Rattus norvegicus: one gene and its partners. The protein of the gene in region 3 interacts with the protein of the main gene of each other region in a pairwise test. Links are inferred from orthologs where the notes say so. Each region holds a gene or a part of one and is shown on either strand. Other genes may lie near its edges. The genes, in order: Yipf2, Ube2k and Rnf185.

Region 1 (4,170 bases), on a different chromosome or scaffold from region 3:
TGGTCCACGTAGCTCCTAGCATTTCCCAGAGCCAAGCCATACTCACCACAGTTGGGATGAAGACAAAGAGTGAGTAGCCGTAGACACACACAGTCTCCAGGAAGGTGTACAGCCCCATGCGTTCCCTCGTGCCCTGGCGCCACCGGAGAAAGCCCCACAGTGCCAGCGGCACTAGCCACGCATAGCAGTAGATGGTTATGCCTGCTATAGTCACTAGAGATGCAATGTGGGCAGTCACTGCATGCCCTTGGACCCTGGCATCCAAGAGCTGAGCCCACCCGCTCTGCTTACCCTTGTGGAACTGGGGGCTATAGTGAATGGAGGGGTCCCGTCTCTGTGCAAGCACCAAAGTGAGATTGCCAGTAACCGCCAGGACGAAGGCCAGGGTGGCACAAATCCAGAAGGGGCCTGCAAAGGGGGAAATGGAGTCCCAGGCACATTCTTCCTGGGAAAGGTGTCTATGTCCTACATAAGTGTTCTGCTAAGACCCCAGACTCCATTTGACTCTCTAAGTCACTGCTCACAAGTGCTGCAGCTGGGCTGATCCTCTCTTTCTGGAAATACCTTCTAAAATGCCTCAAGCACTTAGCTCTTTTCTCTGACAAAACTGTCTGTAGATAGGTAGAAGAGGCTTGGTGGTTCTCCACTGTGGGCAGGATCTTGTCCAGAGGCTTCATGCATTCCATCTTTATGTGTCACTCCCAAACTGCCCCAGGGCCCTGGGTTTACATGCTTATTTTTTGAAAATTCATACATATGACCTGGGCCTCTAGACACTTGATCTGCTCCTCGTACCTGTCCAGCTTTTCCTGTCCACCCATGGCAACTGTGTTGGTTAACTGGGTAGAAAGCTACTCCAGCCTTTCTCAGTCCTCTAGGTTGTGGGCATACTCTAGGACCAACAACCACTCTTCCTCACAGCCTCCAATGTAATGTCTGTGCCCTGCCTGCTCTTGTTGGCTTTCCAATGCCAGAGGAGATCCTGAAATCCTTCAGTAAGATCCCTTCCCACCACTATATGGGACTCATGTACTCATCCCCTACTCATGACTTCCCAGCTTCTTCCACTGCAATGACCTATGCCACTATGCGCAACTCACTTGTTTCCACCATGGGACCTAGAAGCTTTCTGGGTCCTCTTCTAAGCCTCTCACCACCAATGCCAGCATAACTCATTTGCCGACCCTACTCAGGGACCTTGCTGACTTCCCTATACCAGACAGCAATGCCACTCACCCTCTGAGTTAGCCAGACCTACCACCTTCTGCTTCCCTTCTTGGTGTCTCCCTCAACTAAACACAAGTCTGCTCTTTGTGCATGACTGCCCTGTTCAGGACCAGGCACAGTCCCATGTTGAATAATACTCCATTGATTCAAACATAGACCCACTTACCATATAAGTCAGGACGATTTCTAAGATGGTGACGCACAAAGTTGTGGCCAGGATGGGGCAGCAGGGAACCTTTGATCCTGTCCAAGACCTAGAGAACAAAACCAAGGGTCCAAAATGAGAACCCCTGCATTCTGAGAGGCATCCACTGTCTTGCCAGCACATCCTACCTGAACAAGCTGGAACACGTCACCCACTGTGAAGGTGGATTTCAGGCCTGCCACCTTGCTCTCAGCTTCCTGCAGCCTCTCCTCCCAGACAAAGTAAGGACAGTCTCCCTGTTCTAGATGGTCTCCCTCCTAATTTCCAGGATGTACCCTCTCAGAGGACCTGGTTTATTATTAGAGGTTGGTCTGACTGGGAAACATACTGCCTTTAAGACACATACCATCCACATCTACTTTGTAACCTAGTTTTTGCTTTCCAGTCCCACTATACCCATCCCATCCAAATTCAGTCCCCAAGAATAGTGGCTGAACCCCAAGAAACTCCAAGTCGTCACCACCAATGTCCAAGGCCTCACCTGGGAGGTGTCTACATCAAAAAAGCTCTGATAGTAGTCAAACGTCCAGAATCTTGGCTGTGGCTTTTCATCCTGTAGAAGCTATAAGACAAAGGCTTTCAGAACCTGCCTGCTTAGTCAGAGTAAGGACAGAGGCAGAGTATATCGGGGCCTAGGAGACTCACTGATGTTTTGTCATCCTCTTCCTCTCCTTCGGCTCCATAGCCAATGCCTGAACCCACAACCACAGCCACATGCTCTTGTGAGGTCAGCTTATCACTTTGGCTCGTGGTTGCTGCATCTGGGGTTTCTGCCAGAAGATTTGCAGCTTCCTCGAACTCTACGGAGAGGGAATATGGGCACAGGTGTTTGGAGTCTGAAAGGGCTGTGACTGCCTCACCACCCTCCCCTAAGGGCTGGGTTCGGTTTTGATGGACTGTAGATCTGCTCGTCTACTAAGATGGTGTTCAATTTAGGTCCTGTGCAGAGTTGGAGGCGGTGATTTGCCTTTTGAGTTCATGGAAGGAGCGGGAATTGAGTGCAGGATGAACCTGAGGTCTGGGACCCAACTGCTTAGGGTTCTAGCCTAGGACAGGGCTAGGAGCTCTGACCACTTCCGGGCTCCACTCACCGTGGAAGGCCAGATCGTCGGCTGCTGCCATGGTTCTTTGGAGGCGTCACTGCATCACACTCTGTGGACAGAACCGCATCAGTCCCACAGCCCTCCCCAAGACTAATGCTTCCGTCTGGACTCCTGCATGGAGCCTAACACACGGAGTAATGAAGCTTCAGCTCCAAGCTAGGGCCCTGCAGAAGCACCCCACCTTCCTCACCTGAAGCTACCTAAGCTGGCGTGGCTCTTGCTCCGTGCGCGTGCGCGCCGCTCGCCTACCCGTCAGAGCCCACCCTTCTCGACGCAACGGCAACATCCGGCACTAGTCCGTTTCCTATTGTCTTCCAGTGGGAAACTACTTCCTGTATCTTGCGCTTGCGCAGGATCTACTCTCCAGCCCTTTTCATTCCGGCACTATGTGTTTCCCCTCGACTGAGGAACCGCCGGAAAATGATGATGACAGCAGCTCTGAAGAGATTCTGGTCCCGTGGACGCAGTGAAGCGGGAGGAGAGGCAAGTGGTACCACGACAGTGGCGGTTAAGCCAGGGTTGTGGACGCGACTGGGTGAGTAGTGGCAGAAGGCTGCAGGGTGGGTGGCCCAAGTGGCTGAATCATTGTCACTGCAGCGCTTCTTTCCCCTCAGGCACCTGGTCCCGCGCGCTGCTTCGGGATTACGCCGAGGCGTGCGGAGACGCGGCGGCTGCTGCGCGAGCTCGACCCGGCCGCGCGGCCCTGTACGTGGGGCTGCTTGGCGGCGCTGCTGCGTGCTGTGCGCTGGCGCCCAGTGAGGCGGCATTCGAGGAGGCCTTGCTTGACGCATCAAGTTCTCTCTTGCTGTTGGCGCCGGCCACGCGCAACCGCCACTCGGAAGAGTTCTTGCAGCGCCTGCTGTGGCTGAGGGGCCGCGGGCGGCTGCGTCACGTGAACCTGGGGTTCTGCTCGTTGGTTTACGAAGCGCCCTTCGACGCCCAGGCCAGCCTCTACCAGGCCCGCTGCCGCTACCTGCAGCCACGCTGGGTCGACTTCCCCGGTCGGGTCCTCGACGTGGGGTTCGTAGGCCGCTGGTGGGTCCTGAAGAACCGCATGCATGATTGCGACATCAACGACGACGAGTTTCTCCACCTGCCTGCGCACCTGCGCGTCGTCGGGCCTCACCAGCTGCACTCAGAGGCCAATGAGAGGCTGTTCGAAGAGAAATACAAGCCGATCATACTCACCGTCGATCAGGTGGACCAGGCGCTGTGGGAGGAGCAGGTGTTACAGAAGGAGAAAAAGGATCGGCTAGCTTTGAGCGAGGCTAATTCACTAGTTCAGTCCGATGTTTCCAGGTGAAAAACGAAGGGTGCCCCCAGGCGCAGGCAAACTGTTGGCCACAGATGGTGCAGTTGGTGAGATGGGTAGAGATAAATGACCCTCGTTGTGATTTTGTGGGACGTTCTAGCTCTGTCTGTCCTGTTTGCCGAAGCTAATTGGGAGCCTTACTGGTCTTAGAGATACAGAAGAGCTGAAAGACTGCTTTCGAACATGAAGCATTTGACCTTGTGCTTACCGCTGCAAGATCTACTAATAAGGAACCTTTGCTGTGTAGCCTGTTGTTGCTGGGGATGGACTTCAAGGGTAGAGCATTTGCCTAGCATGCCTGGGTTCCTGGCTTGCATTTCCAG
Region 2 (4,336 bases), about 39 Mb from region 3:
TGGAACTCAGAGATCTGCCTGCCTCTGCTTCTCCCGTGCTGGGATCAAAGTGTGCTCTGACAGGTCAGTTATCTTTACAAAGGCACTTAAAACAGGCAAAAAGGAAATCAAGTTGTAAGACCCACCAAAACACTACCAAATGAATTAAACCTGTATGACACGGTGAATTAATGACTTGACCAACTACTCAAAAGCTCATATTTAGGGTTGGGGATTTAGCTCAGCGGTAGAGCGCTTGCCTAGCGAGCGCAAGGCCCTGGGTTCGGTCCCCAGCTCCGAAAAAAAAAAAAAAAAAGCTCATATTTACGCACTTAAAAGGGAAATATGTAGACTGCACTATGGGTTCTTCACTCAGGTGAAATCAACACAACCTATCTAGGGAAATGAAATAAAATACTGGTGAGGATAAAGCTAACTGTTGGCTGTGGTTTTTTACAATATTAAATTTTATCTGATCTTTTCCAAAATATTCTTTGCAACTTACTTCCTTGAACTGAATTCCCTGCTAGGTTTTTAAGGCACCATTCTTGAACTCATATTTCCTATTTCCTTCCTGAGAACCATTGACAATGTTTTTAACCAGAGGAGGAGCTTTTATCCGATTTGCACACTTGGGTGTAGAGGTCAAAGAGAAACCTTCTAGCATGTGGGTCTGAATCTGAACTCGGTCATCAGGCTCCTCAGCCATCAATTAAATAGTAGAACAGTAAATGGAGCTGGCCACTCAGCCCATCAGTTAAATAGTAGAATAGTAATAATATGTACTACTAGAGTCATACAAATGCCGATAATCTTCAACTTAAACACCAAATGCCATGGTGAAAAGTCAGACCACACAAAGCAAAGAGGGTATATCAATTTTCAGGGCAGTAACTTGACACTTTTAGATAAAAGAAAGCATGAGAGGTCTAAAGACCCATACAACCTTATTATAGAATACATGTTGTAGGTTGTTAACAACATAAGAATATACAACGACCCCAAACTAAGTTTGCTTATTAAAGAAAAAGTTTAAATAAATCACCATTAAAAATGTGAATACTGTCATTCATATTGTTTCTGCATTGTTTCACAAAAATACAAAGTCATCCTTCCATTCAGAGTTTTGGCAAATGAATACAGAGGTCAGAGTTCATGCTACGTAAGACAGATCCCTACGTATTTCTTAGTATGCTCACTAACGCTGCTAACATTGTCACTTCAATTTTAAGTGACTTTCTTCATGTCTACTTGGAACGATGGATAATTGTCTGCAAGCTTGGGGGCACAATAAAGCTGGAGAGCTACAAGATTTCTAACAATTTCTCATATGCTTAAAATGACGAATTTTAAAAATCATTAATGACATTATCAGAGTACCAAGCAAGCATAATAGGAAAACTGTGAACCTTGAAAAAAATAATTACTTTCAGAATTGTTAAGTTCAATCATAGAAAAACTGGCATTTTTGTCGATTTAGCACTTTTATAGCAGAGTAAAATTATTACTTTCAATATTTCACATAAATAAATCTGGTAAGCATTAATATGCTTAAAATTTGCAGGACTTACAGGCAGTCAGAGTTTTATTTTTTAAATATGCTATTTCCTGATATATTTTGTGACAGAAAAATAAACCTAACTCAATAATGAGCTACAACAATGTGTATCTGATGAAATCCCTTGGTTTTAATAGGCCTCTTTTTAAAAGTAAGACTCAAGTTAACTATGAGGGACATCATAATGAAGTTTCACAGTACAACACTAGTCACAGAGGCATTACCCTAGGAGAGCCTCTCTGATACGGGTGAACAGTATTTTGAAATAAGCTACTCACACACTCCCATTATTCTTCCTATTTCAAATCATTTAATTAACAAACAACTTGCCTTTGACTAGACAAAAAGCTTTAAATATCAGTGAGGAGGCCTAGTTACTTACTGGCTGGGTACGTAGAAAAGAGATGACTATCTAATTTGGAATTATTTTTTTATCTATAGTGAAAATTGTTTCAACACCCCTTCCCAATTCAAGAATGCCCATTATGTCTCCATAGATCCCCCAGCACTGTACCGTAAGGGAGCAACTGAAAGTCTTCTCGTCTATACCTAAAGACTGTGAAGGCTCCTTCCCCAAGGAAAAGACAGCAAAGGCCTGGCAGGCAATATCCCCAGTACCCCTGAAAGCGTGGGCCTGTGAGGTGCGCTGCTGCCGGGGATCTAGTTACTACCTTTCCCCTTCCCCCAACCCACTTCCCGGGTTTTCTCGGCCTGTTCCTTCCCCACCGTACAGTCACACTTCCAGATGTTGTTGCCGCCGCCTCGGGGCTCTCTCTAGAGCTCACGTGCCCGGGACGAGTGCTTCGGCATCTGCCCCCCAAACCCTGTTCCTCCCCAGGCCGGCCGGCCGCCCGCGAGACCGCCTATCCCAGGGCCCGGGGAGGGGAGGGAAAGGCGGCGGGAGGAGGAGGGGAGACCGCCGCTTCCCCATAGGCAGAAAGGCGGCCGCAGCGAGGCCGGCTGGGACCGCCGGGGTCGCGGAAGGAAGGGCCCTGCCGCCCTGGGCTGAGATGGGGGTGTCCGGTAGCTCATTCCTGACCTCCTCGCTCTTCAGCACCTCCTTGAACTCCCGCTTGATTCGCTGCACCGCGATGTTGGCCATGTCTCTGCCCGCAGCTGATTCGTACCCGCCTCCTCCGCCACCGCTACGACCACCGCCACCGCTGCCACCTCTTCCTCCACCGCCTCCTCCCTCAGTGATTCAGACCCGAGCACACGAACGCTGCCACTGCCACCCTTGCCGTCGCGTTCCCCCTCAGTGTAGAATCACCTCCGCGCCCGGCCACCAAAATGGCGCCGGGTCCGCGCATGCGCACCACGCTGACCCGGGCGGGCGGCGCAGCCGCTCCAGTGGTAGCCCCATACGTCTCAGCAGCGAGCCCGCGCCGCGCGTCTCAGCCGGGGCTTCGGCCGCGTGGCTCCGCCCTGCCGGCGGCTGGGGCCAGGAGGGTGCGGTTTCTGTGCCGGTCCGCGGGGTTTGGGCCTGCGGGGTCCTCCCCTGCCCCTCGGCCCCCTTTACGGTGAGGCCTCCAGTCCCTAGCCACGGACCCGAGGTGGGAGCCCCGCCTGGCGGGTTCCCGGGGCCCCAGCCGGGCTGAGCCTCGCTCTAACTCGGCCAGACCCAGAACCCACGGGCTAGAGGTGCCTCCCTGTGTCTAGCGGAGGAAAAAACTATGCAGGAACTGGGTCCTGCCCAGCGTCCGTTGGTAAACCCCCGGGATATCCACTGCCGTAGCTTTTGTTCTGGAACCATGATAACGCAACTATTATTCGGTCATCTCAGGTATTACAGATTTTTAAGGTTGTGTAATGGTTGCGTCCCACGGGTTGTAATTGATACAGGTGTTGCCGGGGACAGGCCTGTGATGAGTTTAAAAGCCAGAAGTTAAATCTTTGACCTGTTTAGATAGTCAATGCTGAGCTGTAGAACTAACATGTTTTTCAAACTTGAACGCACCTCGGAATCCCTGGAGAGCTGGTTAGATTACTAGGACCTATCCCTAGAGTCTGGATGGGGCTAAGAATTTGCATTGCGAGCAAACTCCCTGCTGCCTGTTTTTCAGCGACCACGCTGTGAGAATGGCTGAATTAAGCATGTGAAAGTCTGTATAATTTATAGTGACAGTTGGAGAAATAGAAGGCCGAAAGAACTTTAGACCTACAAAGGTTTTTGGCGCTCGTAGATGTCAATAAGCAGTGAGTGAATATAATTGAGTGGAGAAAAGATGACCGAGTAAAATGTTTTAATTGAGCAACAACGTTGAGAGGCTATTTGAAAGTGGTTAGTAGAGTTTAAAACAAATAACGGAATGTAGATGCTGAGGAATACTTTTGAAAATAACATTGTGAAATAATGAAGGTATTATTTTAGGAGTATGTTTCATGTATTCACCTAATCAATCAGTTCAGTATTCCATCATAAGACTAATACGAGCTGAATGTAGTGGTATAGGCTTGTAATCCTAGATTGGGAGACAGAAGCAGGAGGATCATGAGTTCGAGAGAAACCAGTCTAAGAGTGCTCCCACTTCTCTCCTATATCCGTTGCCAGCTGCGGTTCCCTCGTCTGTGAAATGAGGAGGTTGTTTAAACTTAAGAGTTCAAAATTCTGAAACATCTCAAAGCCTTTCCCTGAGTAGACAGACATAAATTATAAAAGATCTTATAGCAGAGCCCTCTAGTGGTTATAAGGACCGTCAACTATATACTGAACAACTGAACACTACAAAGGATTTTTGCTATGATATAAATCTAGAAATGTTGTAGGTATCTATGCCAATACAACCTAAAACACTTTCT
Region 3 (3,536 bases):
ACACGGCACGGCTTTTGCTTGCTGGCAGATGACACTGAGCGCCTACTGAACACGGGCCAGCAGCAAGTGGTAAGCCTGGCTCCTCTACTTTCAGGCCTCACCCTTCCCAGGTGACTCTCACGTCTGTCAAAATGCCTCAAAACCAAGCAGCCATCAACAAACACCAAACTAAAGGTAGGGTTAGAGTGCTAAGAAGAAGCAAACAACATTCCATCCGAGTGGGACATGCTATCAGACCAAGTCTTTACCTGGGATCCTGCTGTCCAGTGCTGCCTCTGCCATAGAGTGGGATGACCTTGTCCCGGCTGATTCCCGCTTTGCAAACTGGACATACTTGTCTGTTAGGTCTAGTCTCCAACCACTGTGAGTGAGAGAAAACACAAGAATGAACCAAAGCTGCCCTGTCCTTACCGTGGGAAACACCAGCAGAAGTAGCCTGAGGTGGGAACATTTAGGAACCATAATCTAATTTCTGTTTCTAGCATTGAAAAATATTTACTGGGGATAAAATCAAAATTGCCTTTAAATAACAGTAATTAAACAAGTTTCTCTCTCAGTTACTCTCCGGGGACAGGCAGAGGAGCTGCAAGCCCGAGGCTCCTGGCAGGCTCCTGGTGTGAGCGGAACCTTACTTTCAGGATCAATCAAATTACCCATTACCTCAGTTTTCTTTCTGTGATTTCTCAGTTTTCTTAAAAACATATCTAGTTTTTAATTATGTATATGTCAGTAGAGGGCGAGGGTATATGCAAACAAATGTATGTGCCCTCGGAGGCCTGAAGAGGAAGCTAGAGCTGGAGTTACAGGAAGCTGTGAATATGGGTACTGGGAACTGAACTTGGGTCCCTTCGAAGAGCAGTACGTGTTCTTAACTGCTGAGCTGTCCCTCCATTCCCAACTTCTCATTTTTACAGCATTTCCCCCAAAAATGGTATAACCTGACATCAGCACTTGGCTGCATTAATCATTTTTTGGTCACCTTGTACTGTGTTAAGGGATAGAGTTTGCTCGTTATCTAAAGTGTTACATGTGTATTTCTTTTTTCTTTTTGAAGCAGAGTCTCATGTATCTGAAGATGTCGCTGAACTATCCTTAATCCTCACGTCCTTTGCTCCCTCAGTACAAGGATTACAGAAGTATGTTGCCATGCCTAACCTGTGACCTCTTTCTGGGCACTAGGGGTGTCTTATGTATATTTTCTCAGCCTTTATTTATTTTCAGTACTAGGGAGTAAACTCAGAGCCTTGCACATCGTCAGTACACACACTGTGGATGAATTATGCCCAGCACCCAATATATTTTTGGATGTAAACTGCATCTCTAGCTATGAAGATTAAAAAGTTTATTAAATGAGCGTGAGTCAACGACTTCAGACAGACAGAAATAGCAGCATTTCATGACTTTACATCCTACACTCCCTACCTGCCAACAGCTCTAAAACCTAAGTCACACGATCTCCTAACGCTCACACTGATATGTTCTAGCAAATCTATTCTCAAGTTCATGTGAGTCAGACTGCTCATCCCTAGTTCCTTCTTCCCCTATGAGGAAACAGCAGTCTACTCCCTGCCCTCCCCACACCCTCTAAGCCACCTAGGAGTGTGACGCTGCACTCTGACGCCCGTGGAAATGGCCATCTGGCTATGACTGTTCACCTGTTCCAGTTGCCAATGCCGGGCTCAGTTCTTAGTGAACACTGACTAGTTTTCATAATACATTAAAACAAGGCTTTCCTCCTCTGCAAAAGCTATCCAATTCACAGCAAAAAAGGCTTACTGTCTTCTCAACAATCTAAGACCTTTCAGGACAGAGGTGCACTGATAAGAAAGGAGCTACCTTTTTATTTCTTCAAGATTTAATTTTATCTTGGTGTGTGTGTGTGTGTGTGTGTGTGTGTGTGTGTGTGTGTACTCCCACAAGTGTTGGAGCCCCTGGAGCTAGAGTTACAGGTGCTAGGCACTGAAATTGGCCCCTTTGCAAGAGCAGTAAGCACTCCAGCCCAGAAGTTATCTTTTTATAAATGTAAGAGCTCGGAAACAAAAAATGATCTAATAGGTGAGGATGTGACTTAGCAGATCAATTGTTTAGCAAGCAAGACATCCTGGGTTCCCAGCATTACACGAAGTCGGCATTGGGATGCACATCTACAGCCCCAGCACTCTGAGGCAGCATCCTTAACTACATAGTGAGTGTGGGATATACTTGGGGTACATTTGATCTTGTCTTGAAACAAACAAACAAACAACAAAAAAAGGGAGCTAACACTATCAAGTCCACCCATGTGCAAACGAGTCATTGGGACACAGGCAAGTGGTGGCCACAAGCCTATATGGCTATTATTGGCAGACCCAGGACTAATTCAGATATGGAAAGACCTCCTTATTACATCAAATACCGGTCAGCAGACAGGTGCATAAAAAGGGCAACTGAGCGCAGAAGCGAGGGAGATTGCAGCTTCTGACAGCAGTCCCCTGAGACCAGGGCTGTCTTGTGCAACTCTAGCTGATGAAAGACAAAGTAAAATGAAGTACATCTTACCTGATGTAAACACGGCCAACTACAGAGTCCCCAGGGCGGCCAATCATCAGGAAGGAAAGCAGGAAGAAGGAGAAAAATGCTTTCATTAGCAGAGACACTCCACGAGTAGAGAAGGGACATCAAAAGGGGATAACTGGAGTACAGGGAGGCTTCCCATGAATTACTGGCATCACATATAGGAAAAGGTATGGAGGCACACATCTGGCATCCAGCACTCGGGAGGGAGTTCAAGGTCATCCTCAACTACACAGTGAAATGGAGTTTACAGTCTAGGCTCTAGAAGACCCTGTCTTGAAACAACAACAAAATTAAAGAACAACATAGACAAGAAAAAGCTAAACCTGCAGGAGAACGAAGAGAGTAGAGACACGATTCCATTCTCCAGCCAGAACCCCACTTTAAAGGAACCCTTCCCCCCAAAACCAAACCAACCAAGCACAATTTATCATAGGTTAGTCCTTCAGATATTATAGTCTCTGAAGGTTTCTAAGTCAAGTATTCTCTGTAAGAAAAGTCAGCACTGCCATGTAACATGTGACAGCACAAAAGCACACACACATACATATGCGCACAACATGCACTGCATCAGGTGGGTCACGGCCTTCTCTGGCTCACACGTGACATATAGGTTTCCTATTATTTCAGATCCAATTTAACAAACTGCTCTTCTAGCAGGAAGTGGCTTGAAAGACTAGCCCTACTCAAAACTTCTTTGTAATGGGAAAGATGGAGAGGCTACTCAGGAAAGGTTACCTCTATCTTACAGAGCTGCTGCCAACATTTCTTCCTTTTTTTCTCTTTTTAAATTAAAATATTTATGTAAATACAGGGTTTCACCATATAGCCCAAACTAGCTTCAGACTCCTGGTCCACTGCCTCAGACTTCAGGACATTAAGTTTATTTGTTTATTTATTTATTTATTTATTTTTTTGGTTCTTTTTTTCGGAGCTGGGGACCGAACCCAGGGCCTTGCGCTTCCTAGGCAAGCGCTCTACCA

What was found.
Region 1: the proteins of Rnf185 (region 3) and Yipf2 interact in binary tests that used the Homo sapiens proteins (3 or more experiments, as listed by UniProt). The two-hybrid records come from large-scale screens. The link is inferred for Rattus norvegicus from reciprocal best matches to the Homo sapiens genes RNF185 and YIPF2.
Region 2: the proteins of Rnf185 (region 3) and Ube2k interact in binary tests that used the Homo sapiens proteins (3 or more experiments, as listed by UniProt). The link is inferred for Rattus norvegicus from reciprocal best matches to the Homo sapiens genes RNF185 and UBE2K.

The regions. Positions count from the first base shown.
Region 1 is NC_086026.1:28,418,650-28,422,819, forward strand, and holds the start of Yipf2 (protein YIPF2), read right to left. Parts: upstream 2,807-4,170; 5' UTR 2,726-2,806; exon of another isoform or gene 2,721-2,725; intron 2,585-2,720; 5' UTR 2,555-2,584; coding exon 2,524-2,554; intron 2,233-2,523; coding exon 2,078-2,232; intron 1,995-2,077; coding exon 1,914-1,994; intron 1,482-1,913; coding exon 1,394-1,481; intron 409-1,393; coding exon 292-408; intron 214-291; coding exon 47-213; intron 1-46. Other genes in the region: Timm29 (mitochondrial import inner membrane translocase subunit Tim29), read left to right, coding at 2,956-3,070, 3,150-3,838.
Region 2 is NC_086032.1:43,069,364-43,073,699, forward strand, and holds the start of Ube2k (ubiquitin-conjugating enzyme E2 K), read right to left. Parts: upstream 2,808-4,336; 5' UTR 2,640-2,807; coding exon 2,577-2,639; intron 1-2,576. UniProt on the Homo sapiens protein: Accepts ubiquitin from the E1 complex and catalyzes its covalent attachment to other proteins. In vitro, in the presence or in the absence of BRCA1-BARD1 E3 ubiquitin-protein ligase complex, catalyzes the synthesis of 'Lys-48'-linked polyubiquitin chains.
Region 3 is NC_086032.1:82,525,959-82,529,494, forward strand, and holds part of Rnf185 (E3 ubiquitin-protein ligase RNF185), read right to left. Parts: intron 2,558-3,536; coding exon 2,539-2,557; intron 362-2,538; coding exon 249-361; intron 1-248. UniProt on the Homo sapiens protein: E3 ubiquitin-protein ligase that regulates selective mitochondrial autophagy by mediating 'Lys-63'-linked polyubiquitination of BNIP1.